Lonchura striata: one gene and its partner. The protein of the gene in region 1 interacts with the protein of each later gene in a biochemical or structural test. Links are inferred from orthologs where the notes say so. Each region holds a gene or a part of one and is shown on either strand. Other genes may lie near its edges.

Region 1 (7,702 bases):
AGAAGGCAAACATAAGAATTAGAGCCAAAACCAACTGTAACTGAGCTCGAGACATGGCTGGAATCAAATGCTTTCCTACCGCCCTTAATCAAGATAGAATTTCTGTCAACACTTTAGACTTTTTTAAAAATCAAATGCGTCATCTGCATTCTCCCCTCACCCTCTCCAGTCAGAGTCAGAGCTCTGGGCATCATGTTTCACAGCTACTTGTGCCCACTGCTACATTGCTGCAGTTTGCAGCTTTTTACTGAGTAGAGCCCATATTCCACAGTGTCACCACCCTCATCATCGACCTCATTGCTGACCACTCTCTCTCCCCTCTATCCCAGACAGAAGAGAATAGTCAGGAAAAGAAAAGGATTGTATCGCTGCCTCAGTTTCATACTCTGTTTCTTGAAAGAGACAACTGGGAGATAACAGTTATTGTGACTGCGCTCCAGAAAGTTCATTCAGTCAGATGAACTCATGACATCTGCTTCTGAAATCCCCACATATCCTCCAAGTCCTGCCCGGAACAGGACTGAGGGTGAAGCAGCAGCTCACTGAGAGGCATCCTGCTCCTCCACCCACCGACTCGGGCTGGGACAGGATCAGCCAGGAATGCCCCGGTGATTTATCACTCCTGTGCCCACCATGAGGTATCTGCAATGCCAACAGGCTCTGCCAAGCACAGCCCAACACCCGCTGCCCACTCCCTGCAGGCATTTTAAAACACACAGTTGTGATTTTGACAGCTCAACCACATTTATCTCAATCCAAAATTCTTTCTCTCCACTGCAGCACTCATCCACCGGAAAGGAGGCGTGGAAATTTTTCCTCATTAATAGGGACTTTCCCTAATTAGCAGGCACTGTGTGCATTTCCCAGGCGTGATTACAGGCACGCTGTAATCCTACACAGCTCGGCGTGGACTTAAAGCATGACCTTGCTCTCCCCCACATCCATCACCTCCTGTGTCGACACGGGTGTCTGCAGCGAGCCAGCCGGGGAACCCTCACCCCCGTTCTGCAGGATCGGCTTTCACCTGGTTTGCAGAGCTGCTGAGGCAGGAAAGGAAGATCTGATCTTCTCGCCTGCAAAAAGACCCCAAATTCCTTCTATAAAGTGACTACTTAATTAAAATCTTCATTTTCTTTCTAGGTCTCCTCTCTCACTGACCTAAAAGTGCCTCCAGAGCAGCACAGCTGTATCCACAGGGAGGAATAGGCAGTGGGTTCCTCTAGACATCAGGTTTCTTTTGAGTAACTACACTTTGGCACGTTCCAGAAGAGTGCCTTGGCATGGTTTAGATTAGTTAGCTTTGAAAAAGGATTACAGTAAATTGGAACAAGCATTCCTATCCCAGAATAAGACTGATCCAACAGCAAGTGCAATAGGTATTTTGGAATAACTTCACACCTCGCTGTAATCCAAATTAGCTTTAAAATTCTGACACAATTCCATCACAGATGTGTTCAGTGTGTTTGTCTCACTGAAATTGTGAATTTTGTTCCAACAGCACAATCTGCCTGGACAAAGAAGCCTCCTAGCCATTCAGGCCATGGTTGGAGATAGGATGCAGCATTCCAACATGAGAAATCAAGGTCAGAGGGAGAGAAAATGGAGGAGTGTGGGAGAGTAGCAAGGACAGGATAGTGATAGGGACACCAAAAGGTTGCAATAAGACAAGTGGGAATGGCTTCAAACTAAAAGAGGAGAGGTTTAGATTGGATATTAGGGAGAAATTCTTCCCTGTAAGGGTGGTAAGGCTCTGGCAAGGGTTGCCCAGAGAAGCTGTGGCTGTCCCTGGAAGTGTTAAAGGCCAGGTTGGATAGGGCTGGTCCAGTGTCTCTGCCCAGAATGGTGATGGGAGTTTGGAACAAGATGAGCTTTAAGGTCCCTTCCAACCCAACTCAGTCTGGATCCTGAGGAAGGCAGAGTTCTGCTCTTTCTTGCCACCTTGCAATGTAGATAAGGCCCTGGTGAACTGGAGATGATGCCTTATCACCACACACCACTGGAACTTCACAAGTGACAGATGTTACTTATGGCAAATCCTAACAGGATCAGAAAGCACAATAAACAATAACAAACACACAAGAAGCTAGTCTAAGTTACATCAGCAGATAAACACAAAGGCAGCCGATCCACATGCCTCAGAACCCAAAAGAGGAAACCAGGAATGAACAAGAGAAGCTTCCCCAAGGCCGAGGCAGCTGCATGGGAATGTGCTCCAGCAATTCCAGGGCCTTCTGCTGGGCTTCAACACCAGCTGCCACTTAAACAGAGGAGGCTGCACTAACCAGGCAGCTTTAATTCAGCCTGGCAGCTTCTTCATTGTCCTGCACCTTAGAGTTTTCTGTTCTTTTTATTGGGATAATAATCCAAAGGTCTTGGATGCTTTCCAGGGTTTAACATGTAAGTTGGAGCATTAGAAATGGATTTACAACAGCCTAGCGAGAACCATCCCACCACAAAGCCATCATCTGAACTCCCTCTGCGTGACACTGACAGCCTCAGAAAGTCACCCTTCATCCTTGCTTTTCCCTGAGCAGGGTGGAAGTGAACACTTCCAACACACTCTGGATCTACAGCTTCTCCCTCCTCTCTTGTGCCCCTTACTCAAAGATCAACTAGGCTTTTCTGCAGCACACAATCAGCAATGGATCCACTACCTCCCAGAACGCTGCTGTTCCATCATTTAATTCTCAAACTGGGAGAAAAGGCCTTTAACTCTCCTCAGGTGAGAGCTGAGCCCGCAGAAAGCTCCGCAGACCACCCCGACCGGCAGCCAAGGCAGGGGCGAAGGGCAGGCACAGCCTTTGCTCTGCTAACGGCCCAGACCCGCCCCCATTCCCAAAAATAAACAGCCCTGACATCTCGTGCTCCCTAAAAAAGATCCCACAAGTTTCAGAAGACATAAAGATGGTACATTCTAAGAATAGACGTTCAGGGAAAATAAAATTATTTTTAGCTACCATAACCTCAACTAATTGTTACATTAAGTTGAAGGTCTTCAAGCTTAAAAAAAGCCCCAGATAAAAATAGTACCCCGAATGTTTTTTTCTGATACTTGGGCCAGGTTTTGCCTGGTTTGCTTCCCTCCTTTTCCTGGGAAGGGGGATTTGGACTGAGACATTACAGAGCTTTCCGCCGTGAAATACACTGTTTCATCAGATTGCGTGACTGTTGAAAAACTTAGAACTTTATTTCACTGCCGAGGCACCCACCCCACCGTAAGGCACACGCCGGGAGCTCCGGTACCGCGATCCCCGCCAGGGGAACGGGAACCGCCCGCCACGGCGGCTCCTCCCGCTGCCGCCCGGGGGCACCGGGCTCGGCTTCCCCGGACAACACGGTGTTCGTAACCAGCCCCCGGGGCTCCGTTACGAGCCCGCCCGCCAGACCGCGATAGCGGCTCCGGCCACGGGCTGAGCGCCCGGAGCCGCCTTCCGTCGCCGTTTCCCAGCCGAGCCCTCGGCCCCGTTACCAATACCTGGGCTCGGAGTAGGCCTGGGGAACAGCCGCAGCGAGAGAACGACCAGATATGGAGAAGGGCTGCGGGTTGGGAAGGAGAGGCGAGGCCGGGGGTGCCCGGCCGGCGCCCCGCACTCACCTCAGCAGCGCCGCCGCCACTCCGCGCGGCGCCTCTGCCGCCGCCGTTAACGGATTTCAAACAGGACCCCGCAGTCCGAACTCACCAATCAGCGCCCGGCACACGCCCTTTGAGGCGCGCTGATTGGCTGGACCCCTTCAGGACCCGGATAATCAGACCCCAAGCAACGCAGTTGCGCTCTCCCTGCAAAGTCTGACGGGAAATGTAGTACGTGCTTGCACAGCGCCACAATGACCGGGCGAGAACCGAACCACAACTCACATAACGCACTGCGGGACCTAGTAGACCAATCAGAAAAGGGGATGCCTTGAGTGTCGTTCCGGGTGGCCTATCAGCGACTGGCGGGCGGGACCCCGGAGCCAGTGTCAGCCGGTACGGCCGCGGGGCCGGGCAGGAGCCTGCCGGAGCCGGGCTCAGGTACGGCGGCTGTATCAGTGTCCGCTGCCCGGCTTCCACCCGCTGTTCCTCAGCAGATCAGCCTTCGGACTGCTGGGCCCGGGAAAGGCGGCTTCCGCCGTCTGGTAAGCCCGGCTAGGTTTCTCGATGCTGTGAGGACAAAGTGCCATTTGCGCAGTGGCGTTTTCGACCCCAAGTAGTGCATAATCTTCCCCGCAGTGCTGCAGAGGGATGGGTAGCCAGCTGTTAACGGCGGGGCAGGCCCCTGCTGCCACAGTCGCTTTCACAGCTTCGGCACTACCCCCATAAACCTCCCCTCACAATCCCAGCACGGGCTCCCTGAGCACTGTGGAGACACAAAACACCCCACGTTAATCCCGGAGTGCTCTGAGGGGTTTGCAGCCGTGTCAGCGGCAGGGCCGTGTCCGCAGGGCGCGGCGAGAGCGGAGGCCCGAGCTGCCACCGCCGCGGCCGGCAGGGGGCGCCGGAGCTCCGCCCTCCGCCCGGCACATTCGCGCATGCGCACCGGCCCAGCCGGCGTGGCGCGTGCGCGCCGTGCCCCCGCGCAGTCCAACCGACGCTCTTCGCCCAGCCTCAGAGCGCTGTGCGCATGCGCACCGCCCCTCTGCTGCCCCCTCCCACCCTACCGCACCCCCCCGGCCGCTCGGCGGGCGATGTGGAAAGGATCCGGGGACTGCTGAGCGGGCCGAGCCCCGGCGGGGCTCCCGGCGACCTCCGGCGTCGCTGCCAGCCGGGCCCGCCCAGCAGAGCCGGGAAGGACGCGGACCCTCAGTCGGGCGCTGAGGTGAGGGGCGGGGTAGGGTGAAGCTTGAGTGACGCGCGGCTCGGCCAAAGGGAGCGGCCGCGGCCGGGCCCCGCCCCTCGCGGCCGCTGATTGGCTGGCGTGTCGGCCGCGCGGGCGCCCTGTCGGCCCTCGTGCGCGGCCCCGCCCCCCAGGTACGGCGACCGGTGGGGCCGTCCCGGGGCCGGGGGGGCGGTGCGGGGCTCCGGGGGACGCGGTCCGGTGGGGGGGTGGGGGGCAGTCTGCTGCTCGGGAGGACCGGGTACCCCCTGCGGCGCTCCCGCCTGCCGCTGCCCGGCGTGTCACCGTCCCGGCCCCAGCGGCTACGCGCCGCTAACCGTGACTGGAATCGCTCCCGTAGGGACGCGAGGCCGTGCGGCGGCTCCCGCGGTGCCGAGCGCTCGCCGGCTTTCAGCGGTTTATGCTCTCCGCCTGCGAGGGGAGAGGGGCTTCGGGGTGGCGGGGGGCTGCGGTGACCATCAAACCGGGCCGCCCCGGGGCTGCCGTGGTCCTTGGGTAGCGCTGCCCGCCCGCTGCCGTGGCTAACGCCGGCGGAGGGGGCGGGGGCGCCGGGCCCTTTAACGGGCGGGGCGAGGCGGGGGCGGTGCTGTCGCGTTCCGGGCCGACCCGAAGCTCCAGCAGAACAAGAACCGCCTCCGCCCCGGCCCGCAGCCGGCCTGCCAGGCGCAGCCCGCACCCGGTGAGATCTGGGGTCTGCTCGGAACGAGCTTGTGGGGGGTCCCCGGGGCTCAAGGCTGCTTTCCGGGGAAGGGGGTTGGTTGTGGTCGGTTCTCTGTGCAGCTTCAATCTGGTGGCCCTGAGCCTCGGCGTAGAGCTGCGGGGTGATCTCAGTATAACGATAAGCTATCGGTGGTAATGGCGCGGGTGCATCTAAGAGCTGTGGCATTAACCGTTTCGGTGCCTCTCTCCTCATCTGTGCTAAGGTCAGATGCTTCCATCGGTCGCGAGGAAGAGGAGTGGAGTCGGGACCTGCTAAGTGCTGATCAGCTTGTGCTCCGGACCATGGACTCATTGAGGGCGTCCCAGGTGTGAAAATGTACAGCAGTAACCGGGAGTTAGTGATTGACTTTGTTTCCTACAAGCTCTCACAGAAAGGATACAGCTGGAGTCAGCTGGAAGAGGAGGATGAGAACAGGACTGACTTTGCAGGGGAGGAGGACGAGATGGACGGGGTCCTCAACGGGAGCCCCTCCTGGCACGCGGCCACCAGCCACATAGTGAATGGAGCCACCGTGCACCAGAGCAGCCTCGAAGTCCATGAGATCCGTCGAGCAGCCGATGTGAGGCAGGCACTGAGAGAGGCAGGGGATGAGTTTGAGCTGAGGTACCGGCGGGCGTTCAGCGACCTCACTTCCCAGCTCCACATCACTCCCAGCACAGCGTATCAGAGCTTTGAGCAGGTAGTGAACGAACTGTTCCGCGATGGAGTGAACTGGGGCCGCATCGTGGCTTTCTTCTCCTTCGGAGGAGCCTTGTGCGTGGAGAGCGTTGTTAAGGAGATGAGGGTATTGGTGAAACGCATCGTGTCTTGGATGACCACGTACTTGACCGACCACTTAGATCCCTGGATCCAGGAGAATGGCGGATGGGTAAGATCACCTCTCTGTGCTGGGGCTGGCTGCCCAAGCCTTCCCTTGCTCCAGGCTGGCAGTGGAGCTGGTCAAGCTGGAGTGCAGCTCCCTGCAATGTATATGCTAGAGCTTGTCCTACTCCTTGCAGGGAGAATAAAGGGGTGTGTGGTCTTGCCTTCTGTGCTCTAAACACTGTCCCAAGAGGGCCAACGCACCGTGTTGACACAGTCTGTGCTCAGATATGTCTTTCTCCATCCCTCCTTTTTCTCCTTCTCCCTGGATGTTATGTAAAAGACCTGTTTTTCCAAGAGCCTTTGGAAATCTAATGTCATCCAAGCTTGTTCTTCAAGCAGAGCCATGGCTCTGGGGCATGTTCTTGGTGTCATTAACAGCAGGGAGTGGAGCTTCCTCCTCTCAAAGCCAGCGTTGTGGTGGGCTGGCTGGTGGTTTGCTGAGGTAACAGCTACTTCTTCATTCTGGAAACAGCATTTGCCTTGCTCATGGTGAAGTGAATCCCACAGCAGATCCCGGGGGGTGGGTGGGCTTCTAGGACTGTCTGAGCTGGTGTGGTGGGAGCCAGAGCTGAGGTGGAGGCAACCTCTGTGCTGGGGAGCTCTAAGCCTGCAGCTGCTTTTCCCTTGGCAGGGAGCAGTGCTCCCAGCTGCCCCAGCAGCAAACCCTGGGAGCTCTCAGTGGTGAGGTATTAACATGAATAAGCATTTCTTCAGGAAGCATTCTTGAAATGCCGGGTCCGGCTGTGCGGTGCAGCCTGGGACTGCCGGCGGGAGGTATATGACCTACAGATGTCTGAGTTTTCATTTGGCTTCTGCATCTTAGTGATTCCCTGCTGGTGTAACCTTTACCGGTTCCCATTGGAAAGAGTTCATGCTGTCAGGCATTGGCATCTAAACAGTGGGGAATTGCCTCCTTGCTGGGAGCTGAGGCCTCTTGGCCCCCTTCAGCTCACGGTCCATTGGCAGAGCCCAGCATTTTGGGAAGGGGACAGGAGCCTTTGAGCCCAGTGCTGTGTTCTGTGCCCTCCTCACAGAGAAGAGGCTCTCCCCAGCTCCCCGTGCCTGGCCAGCAATGCTGGGGACCCCAGAGATGAAGGGGAGAGCTGGTGCACCCAGGGAGAGGGAGGTAGTTCAGGAAGACTGAAAGAATTCCAGGAATGTGACCGCCCTGGGGCACTGCCTGGGTGGGGCTGCTCAGGCAAGGAGCGGAGCTTGGTTTCGATTAGTAGCCCGGGATCTGCTGGCCATTTCATCTGGCTGTATGTGGCCCATTAGCTCTCTCATCCTGCAGATAACCCTGGCC
Region 2 (6,936 bases), on another chromosome or scaffold:
GGCACAGAGATGCTCTGTGGAGCTGTGTAGGCATTCCCAGTTCAGGGTTTTCTGCAGTGGAAACAACCTGTCTGACATGAGCACAGCAGGCAGTGAGGGCTTGGCTCTGAGCAACACAGCCTGGCTTGAGTTTATCAGTGTAAGGGCATGAAGATATGTTTACATAGTGTGATACCCAGCAGCGAGGCATCCTTGCTTATTTTATGATTCCATCAGCATGTTCTTGACTGATGATGAATGGATTCCTTGCAGGTTAACAAGCTGAAAATGTTTTTGTTATGAAAGAGAGCCAAATCAAACTTTATTGAACAAATACATCTTGGATCTCTGGCTAGTGAGTTTTTCTGCTGTTCAAACATGTTATGTGATGTGAATGAAATTGCAGTTGAATTAGACTTAGCTGTTCATGTAGAATTCACAAGCTGCATTTTTTTTTTTTTTTCCTCACAGCTTTATTTTAGGCAGGTAAGTTATTTTTGGAGGAAATGACAGTTTTGAACAATTTGGCTATGTAAAAGTGATTATTGAAAATAGTATTTACTGGTCCCATTTTATGAAGAAATTGAATCAGTAGCATACTTGGAAATGCAAAAGGGCTGATTCTTCCATGCTTCCCAACACTAACTCCTGAATAAAACACTTGTTTTGTGGTTTGCTTTGTAAAGATGTGCCCTGTCAGGGAGCACAGGGCACAGCTCCTGCAAGCCCAGCCCCAGGACTGTCACCAGAGCTGAGTGCAGCCCACAGTTTGGTACCTGCAATGACTCTACTAACTTTGATCTATTCCCAGCTAATTTGGTATGAATAGTATCAGAACCAGGGTTATGTCTATATCCATTAGTGATGCAGAACAGAGCTTAAAAATAATCTTCCACTGACATGCAGATTTATATAATGAAAGATGGGGCAATTGGAGATTTCTCCAGCAAACTGGTGTTAAACAAGCTGCTCTGAGTTCTCAAGACCTAAAGCCTGTGATGGAAAAAGAACATTTAGACAGATCCTGTATGTGAATGATTTGTGGAATTATTGTTAGTCAAATCTATTATGATGCACTCTGTTCTATTTTCACCTGTTAAAATAAATTAAGCTGTAGCATTACTAAAAACTAAGAACTGCCAAGATAAAAGAAGGAACTGACACATAGAGCATTTAGGAGATTTCTTATACTGTAGAAGGAATTTGTAAAATTTAAACTGAAGTCACAAGCACAGATTTTCTCCATTAAGAACATTTAGTGTGATTCTCCTGTTCTTCTGGCACTCCCCAGGATAATCTACAGTTTTTAACCTGTAGGAAAAATAGAGCCCAAGAGAGCAGACAGCACTGATGCTCAACTCCATATGAGGAGATTTGCTGCCATCTTTTGGTAGATGTGTGTTCTGGAAATTAAAGAAAAATTATCTCTCACAGATACGAAACACTTTGTCCCTCTGCTCATTCTTAACCCACTTGCAGCATCAGCCCCTGGAGGGATTTAAAATTGTGTAGACATGACATTTAGGGACAAGGTTTAGTGGTGGACTTTGCAGTGCTGGGTTAACAGTTGGACTTGATGATCTTCAAGGCGTTTCCAATCTAAATCATCCCATGACTGTGATTCTGTGCACTCAGCCTCTACTGCAGAGGCAGCCTGTGAAAATTAATCTCGGCCAATGATACTCCAAGGAGCTCCCAAAAACCCTGTGCGTGCCTGTGGGGCTGGGAGGGCTCAGTGCAGGGCAGGGGCTGGGCTGGTTTCTTCATGGTCTGGCTGCTCAGAGAAAATCTGTAGGGAACAGGCTGCAATCTCTGCATGTTTACAAGTAATAAAATACTTATTGATGCCCAGAGGTAATAAAATAATATATTTGATCATGTGGGGCAGCAGGAGGTTGATGCATGGGGAGGGAGCAAGGCTGGGAGATAGTGCTCTAAAAATCACCCTCATTGCTATCAGATTTACCTTTGCAGAGGGCAAAGAGCTGAGGCTGCACTTTGGCAGGGGCAGGTTGAGGAGCTGCTGCTCAGGGTGAAAGTGCACCCTTGTGACCTGGTCAAAGGGATGTTGGGGAATGTCCTGTGCCCCTCCTCCCCTCCAGGGTCCTGCCTCTGCACCAGCAGCCTCCTCACTTCCCTTGCTCCTCTGACTCCTGGGGGAGGAGGTTCAATGCACCCCAGCAGAAAGCTGCCCACTGGTTTTTTGCTGGGCTACATTTTTTCATGGGACAGTGAGTGAAATCCAGAGCAGGTTTTGACAGGCCCCAGGATGCAGGAAAAGAGGGAAGGTACCAGCTTCTGCCAGAGAGAAAACTGAGAGGGTGTTGAGAGCTGGCACTTCACCCTGACTGCAACTCAGTGCTCTGGTTACAACACCCACACTCGTAGTGGTGCCTGGATCAACAAAATGACTGTGGTTAGAAGAACTTTCCAAATTTGAAAGAGGCCTCTTGTTTCCGTGGGTTCCTACCCTGGTGGTAGGCTGCACACTTTATTTTAATGTGGATTTGGTATCCAGCACAATTCCTTCAGCCTTAGCTGCCTCAGCTGCCTTTCTAAGGTCAATATGTGGCCACACACAATCCTTTCCCCTCTACCACCCTGTCATTCCTGAGATACCACTGAATTCCACAAGCCACTTCATTTTTTTATATACTTCAGTTCAACATTAAGTTCCTTGCAGGGTTTATTTAGTTGGAACCCTGACCAAAGTTCCCAAGTGCTGTGTGTGTGCTCAGCTGCATGAGTCCAACCTTGCTGCTGGGCTGTGCCAGAGCAGGCACCACGCACATGATGGGGTACAGCCCTGCCACGGCTGTGGGAGCAGTGCCTTTCAGAGAAATGCTGTTGGGAAAGCAAAGGTATGAGCCAGCTAAGAGCACAAGCAGGGAAACTTCCTACTCTCGCCATCCATTGACGCTGTGCAAGGGAGAAAAAGCAGGAAAGAACTAATTAAAAACCAAACCAAAACAATGTTCTCATGAGTGGGATGTAGACTCTCAGCAATGATTCTTTTTTTGATACAGATATCCCTTGCATGGTGGGGGCAGAAGGGTGACCATCAGCAGTTTCCTGGCTGAGATGATTCCCCTGTTTGTCTTGTGGGTGATGCTCTGTGTGTCCCAGGGACCTCCAACAGTGCAGGACTGGGTTGATATCTCATCTTGAAAGTAGCCCAGTTCCACCTCTGTTCCCTCTGATAGCAGATCACTCCCTGCCTGAGTGTTTTGTTACCAGAAGAGTGTTGCTCTGGACCCAGTCCAGCTTCCCTGTGAGCTGTGAGGGCCGATTTGTGTATCTGAGGGAGAGTTAGGAAAGCTGTCAGCTCCCTAATTCATGAGAGCCTCTCCACGCCCCACAGCCAGTCCCCACGGGGGGAGTCATGCTGCCTCGCTGGCCCCTGGCCCCCTGACAGCTCCTTTGGACACTCACCAGATATCACACACAGCCTCACCTGCTCACAGATCCTCTTTCAAATCCTCCCTTCCTCCTTTCCCACCACTCTTGCCTCAACCAGGATACGGGGAATTGAAATTTTAACAAGACGGGGAGTTAGAATTAAATTCTAAATTGAAATCTAGGCAATTTTAATTTATCCAATTCAGACTAAATGGGGACTTTCATCGAATCAGTATGGTTTGGCTGGGAAGGGTCCTCTAAAAGTCACCTCGTCTGGTTTCCCGCAGAGCCCGGGATTCTGGTACCCAGGCGGCTGCAGATGCCCCGGGTGGCGCCGGGGCTGGCGCTGGCGCATCCCGCGGATGCCGCAGCCGCGGGCCGGTGCGGGGAGGCGCAGCCGGGCGCCCGGGGAGCGGCCCCGCAGCCCGGGCCGCCCCGCCCGCCGCGCCGCGCCGCCCGCCGGTCCCGCCCGCCGGTCCCGCCCGCCGTCACGCACCGCCGCCGTCGCAGAGCCCGGGGCGGCACCGGGCAGGGGCAGCCGCCGCCGGAGGAGGCCGAGGCGGAGCGGAGCGCAGCTGCCGCCGCGGCGGGGGCAGGTAGGGCTGTCCCGGGAGGGGGTCCCGGGCCGCGGGGCGATGCGGGCGGCGGGAGCGGGCCCGGGGCACGCGTGGGAGCGGGGGCAGCCCGCAGCGCCCCGGGCGGGTTTGCCCACCCGCGGCCCGGCGGAACGGGGATAAAACGGTGTCCTTACGTAATGCCGAGCCTTGCGACACGGGGGCCTGCTGGGGAGGCGCGGGTGGCCGGGACATCGCGGCCGGCGGGAGCGGGGCGCGGCGGGGTCCCGGCGCCGCATCCCGGGATGCCGCCGGGCGCAGCGGGGCCGAGCTCAGCGAACCGGGCGCTGCCCCGTGCCGGGAGGAGAAGGGTCACAGGGCCACGGCAGCCGTGCGGCTCCTGACGAGCGCTTCAGCGTGCGGGATCGTTCTGCTCCTTCCCGGGAAGCAAAGGTCGAAGGTGGCCGTACCTGCCCGCGTTTAGCACCTTCTTGGCTCTGGCATCCTTTTCACCTCGCTCTTCTGCACCCCCGGCATCCTTCTTGCGGGTTGGCAAATTCGTTCTGATATATACCAAAACCTCAAGTCAAGCAGGCAAACTGATTTATTCTTCCATTTCATTCTGCTTATTCTCAGAATAGAGGTTTGTACTTGTGGGGAATTATATTAGTTTAAAAATCCCCATGTTTCTGCTTTCTGTTCCTGAGCACTGTGGGGCCACAGCAGCAGCTGCCTCAATTCTGCCTTGTCACAGCCCTTGCTGGGAACAACTCTTGCTGGAGGGGGGAAAAGTCTTTGACTCATTCAGTCTTTAGGTATTTGCAAAATAATAAAAAACGGTAACAAATTTTTCAGAAAATGGAGTGGGGCTGACTCATCACCAGTGACCAATGCAGGGTTGCATCTCTGGGGAATATTTATAGTGATTCCAGCAGAAACAGATCCCAGCTTGTTTCTCAGATGCCTTAGTGAGAACAGAGGTGTGTTGCAGTTTGTTTTGTTGGGTACAGTGGATGGTTGAATAATCACCTTTCTCATGATGTTTCACCTGTGAATTTTTGTCAGAAATAGGCTTTTGCACTATTGCAATGACATTCCAGAATAATGCCTCCCTCCAGCACTCTCCATCAAAGGTTTGCACTGATCCACCGTTTCTTCCTGCCCGCATTTTGGGGTTTGTGTATGGGTGTGTGAAGGTATGGGGGACATCACTGTTGGCTGGTGTAGCAGCAGGAGAATGTCCCCAGCCCTGGCACTGTCAGGATGGAAGCAGGATGCACAGCTCAGGCTCTTCTTGGCATCTGCTGCAGGTAGGGAAAAACACATCCACCATTGGTAGCAGATGCTCCTTTTCTGTGTGAGCTGTCACATTGTGCTGGAAAACAAAATTCCATTTTAATTACTCATCCCCATTGATATGGTGCTGGGTGTTCCTGCAGTGGGGCTGGGAGCAAGGGACATGTCCCTTCCTGCATGCGCTGGCCTGGCCCCTGCCATGCTGGGGGCATGGGGTGGGACAGCAGCACTGTTCTTCTCCTCCTCCACAGGTATTTAACAGAAACAGGTTAATTTAACATGTGGGGATGTGGTTCTGTGTTCTTCCCTTGCAGTGTAGTAACTACAGTAGCTACAGCAAGCTGCAACACCCCCTAAGTTAATCAATACTTACATGTCATAGTTTAATAAGGGGTTGCCATACAACACTGCAGATCCTAATGTGTACCCATACAATTAAGAGCTGGCTGTCTCTTTCTTTAATTCCATAATTAGCATAGCCTAAATAATAATATTTACATTTGCTTTTAAGGGGTTTATTTCCTTTATGCTCCTCTCTTTATTGGGCTACAGAGGTACTGCATAAACCCATCTTTAAATCTGCACCTTCATGCATGCAGCTCCAGAGCAAAACTCCAGCAGGAGGGCTGGCATCCTGTGAGTGTCACAGGGATGCTGCATGGCCTTATAAAGCCTACAACAAAAGAAATTGTGGACTCCTAATCTTAAATTTTGAGTCATAATGGTGCATGGATTATATGGTGTTGGCATAGTAGCAAGTAGGGACAAAAAGTATTGTTAAGTATTGTATTTAATAATGCCGAGTATTTACAAACCACGTGCTTTTACTGGCTTCTCAAAAGCCTTGTGAATGTGCCCAACTTGATGTTTGACCTCTGTGTGACTGCGCATGTATTTAGGGGTAAGTGTGCTCTTAAATCTCTGCACAACGAGGCTGCTGAACCTGATCTGAAGCAGACTGTGGGCATGACTTGAAGGGATTTGGGATCTGGACCATAAAACCCAATGTGTGGAGCCAGCATGAGCTCCTCTGGGAGCCTGGGACGTTGTAGAGGGACGCTGGTGCCAAGTGGAGCTGGTTCCTCCAGGCAGCCATGAGACGTGGAGGGAGCTGGGCCCTGCTCTGAGAGCAAAGCCCCATCCTCTGAGGTGTATTGACACCACAACAGACATTGGCTGGGAAATGACACTGCCAGGCTGGGGGCCCAGAAAGGCACCTAAAAGCTGCTTCATTCCAAGGAATAATGTTTCCTTTATTGAAGGAGATAAATGAAAAATAAATTAGTATTCTTTTTAACGTTGAGGCAAAAGACCCTCATGTGGGTTTTTTCCCCCATGCAGACAGACTCTATCTGGTTGCTGTCTGTCCCTCCCAGCTGTTCCTAGCAGCTGTAATGTGTCCACCTTGCAAGTAGCAGCTTTTGCTACTTGCAAAAGTAGCAAGTACTATGCTACTTTCATGCTTTTGGAGACAGGGAGCTGGAATGTTCAGAACTACTGGTACCATCAAGAAATGGTACATGAGTTCAGATTTATTTGGAATAAAATGTGGCTACATAAGGACAAATCCAACCTTTTACTTCCTTAGCTTTCAATCTGATAGACTTCCCTTGTCTTCATAGGAATTTCATTCTTATAATGGACTTGATTCTTATCTTAAATTTTTAGATTGTTCCTTTCCCCATGTAAATATCATAGACCTGATAAA

The links.
Region 2: the proteins of BCL2L1 (region 1) and VDAC1 form a complex in vitro, tested with the Homo sapiens proteins (4 studies listed by BioGRID). The link is inferred for Lonchura striata from reciprocal best matches to the Homo sapiens genes BCL2L1 and VDAC1.

Annotation. Positions count from the first base shown.
Region 1 is NC_134619.1:7,570,053-7,577,754, reverse strand, and holds the start of BCL2L1 (bcl-2-like protein 1), read left to right. Parts: upstream 1-4,628; 5' UTR 4,629-4,796; intron 4,797-4,894; exon of another isoform or gene 4,895-4,948; intron 4,949-5,362; exon of another isoform or gene 5,363-5,493; intron 5,494-5,737; exon of another isoform or gene 5,738-5,742; 5' UTR 5,743-5,848; coding exon 5,849-6,403; intron 6,404-7,702. UniProt on the Homo sapiens protein: Potent inhibitor of cell death. Inhibits activation of caspases. Appears to regulate cell death by blocking the voltage-dependent anion channel (VDAC) by binding to it and preventing the release of the caspase activator, CYC1, from the mitochondrial membrane.
Region 2 is NC_134617.1:9,728,513-9,735,448, forward strand, and holds the start of VDAC1 (non-selective voltage-gated ion channel VDAC1), read left to right. Parts: upstream 1-3,865; 5' UTR 3,866-3,974; intron 3,975-6,936. UniProt on the Homo sapiens protein: Non-selective voltage-gated ion channel that mediates the transport of anions and cations through the mitochondrion outer membrane and plasma membrane.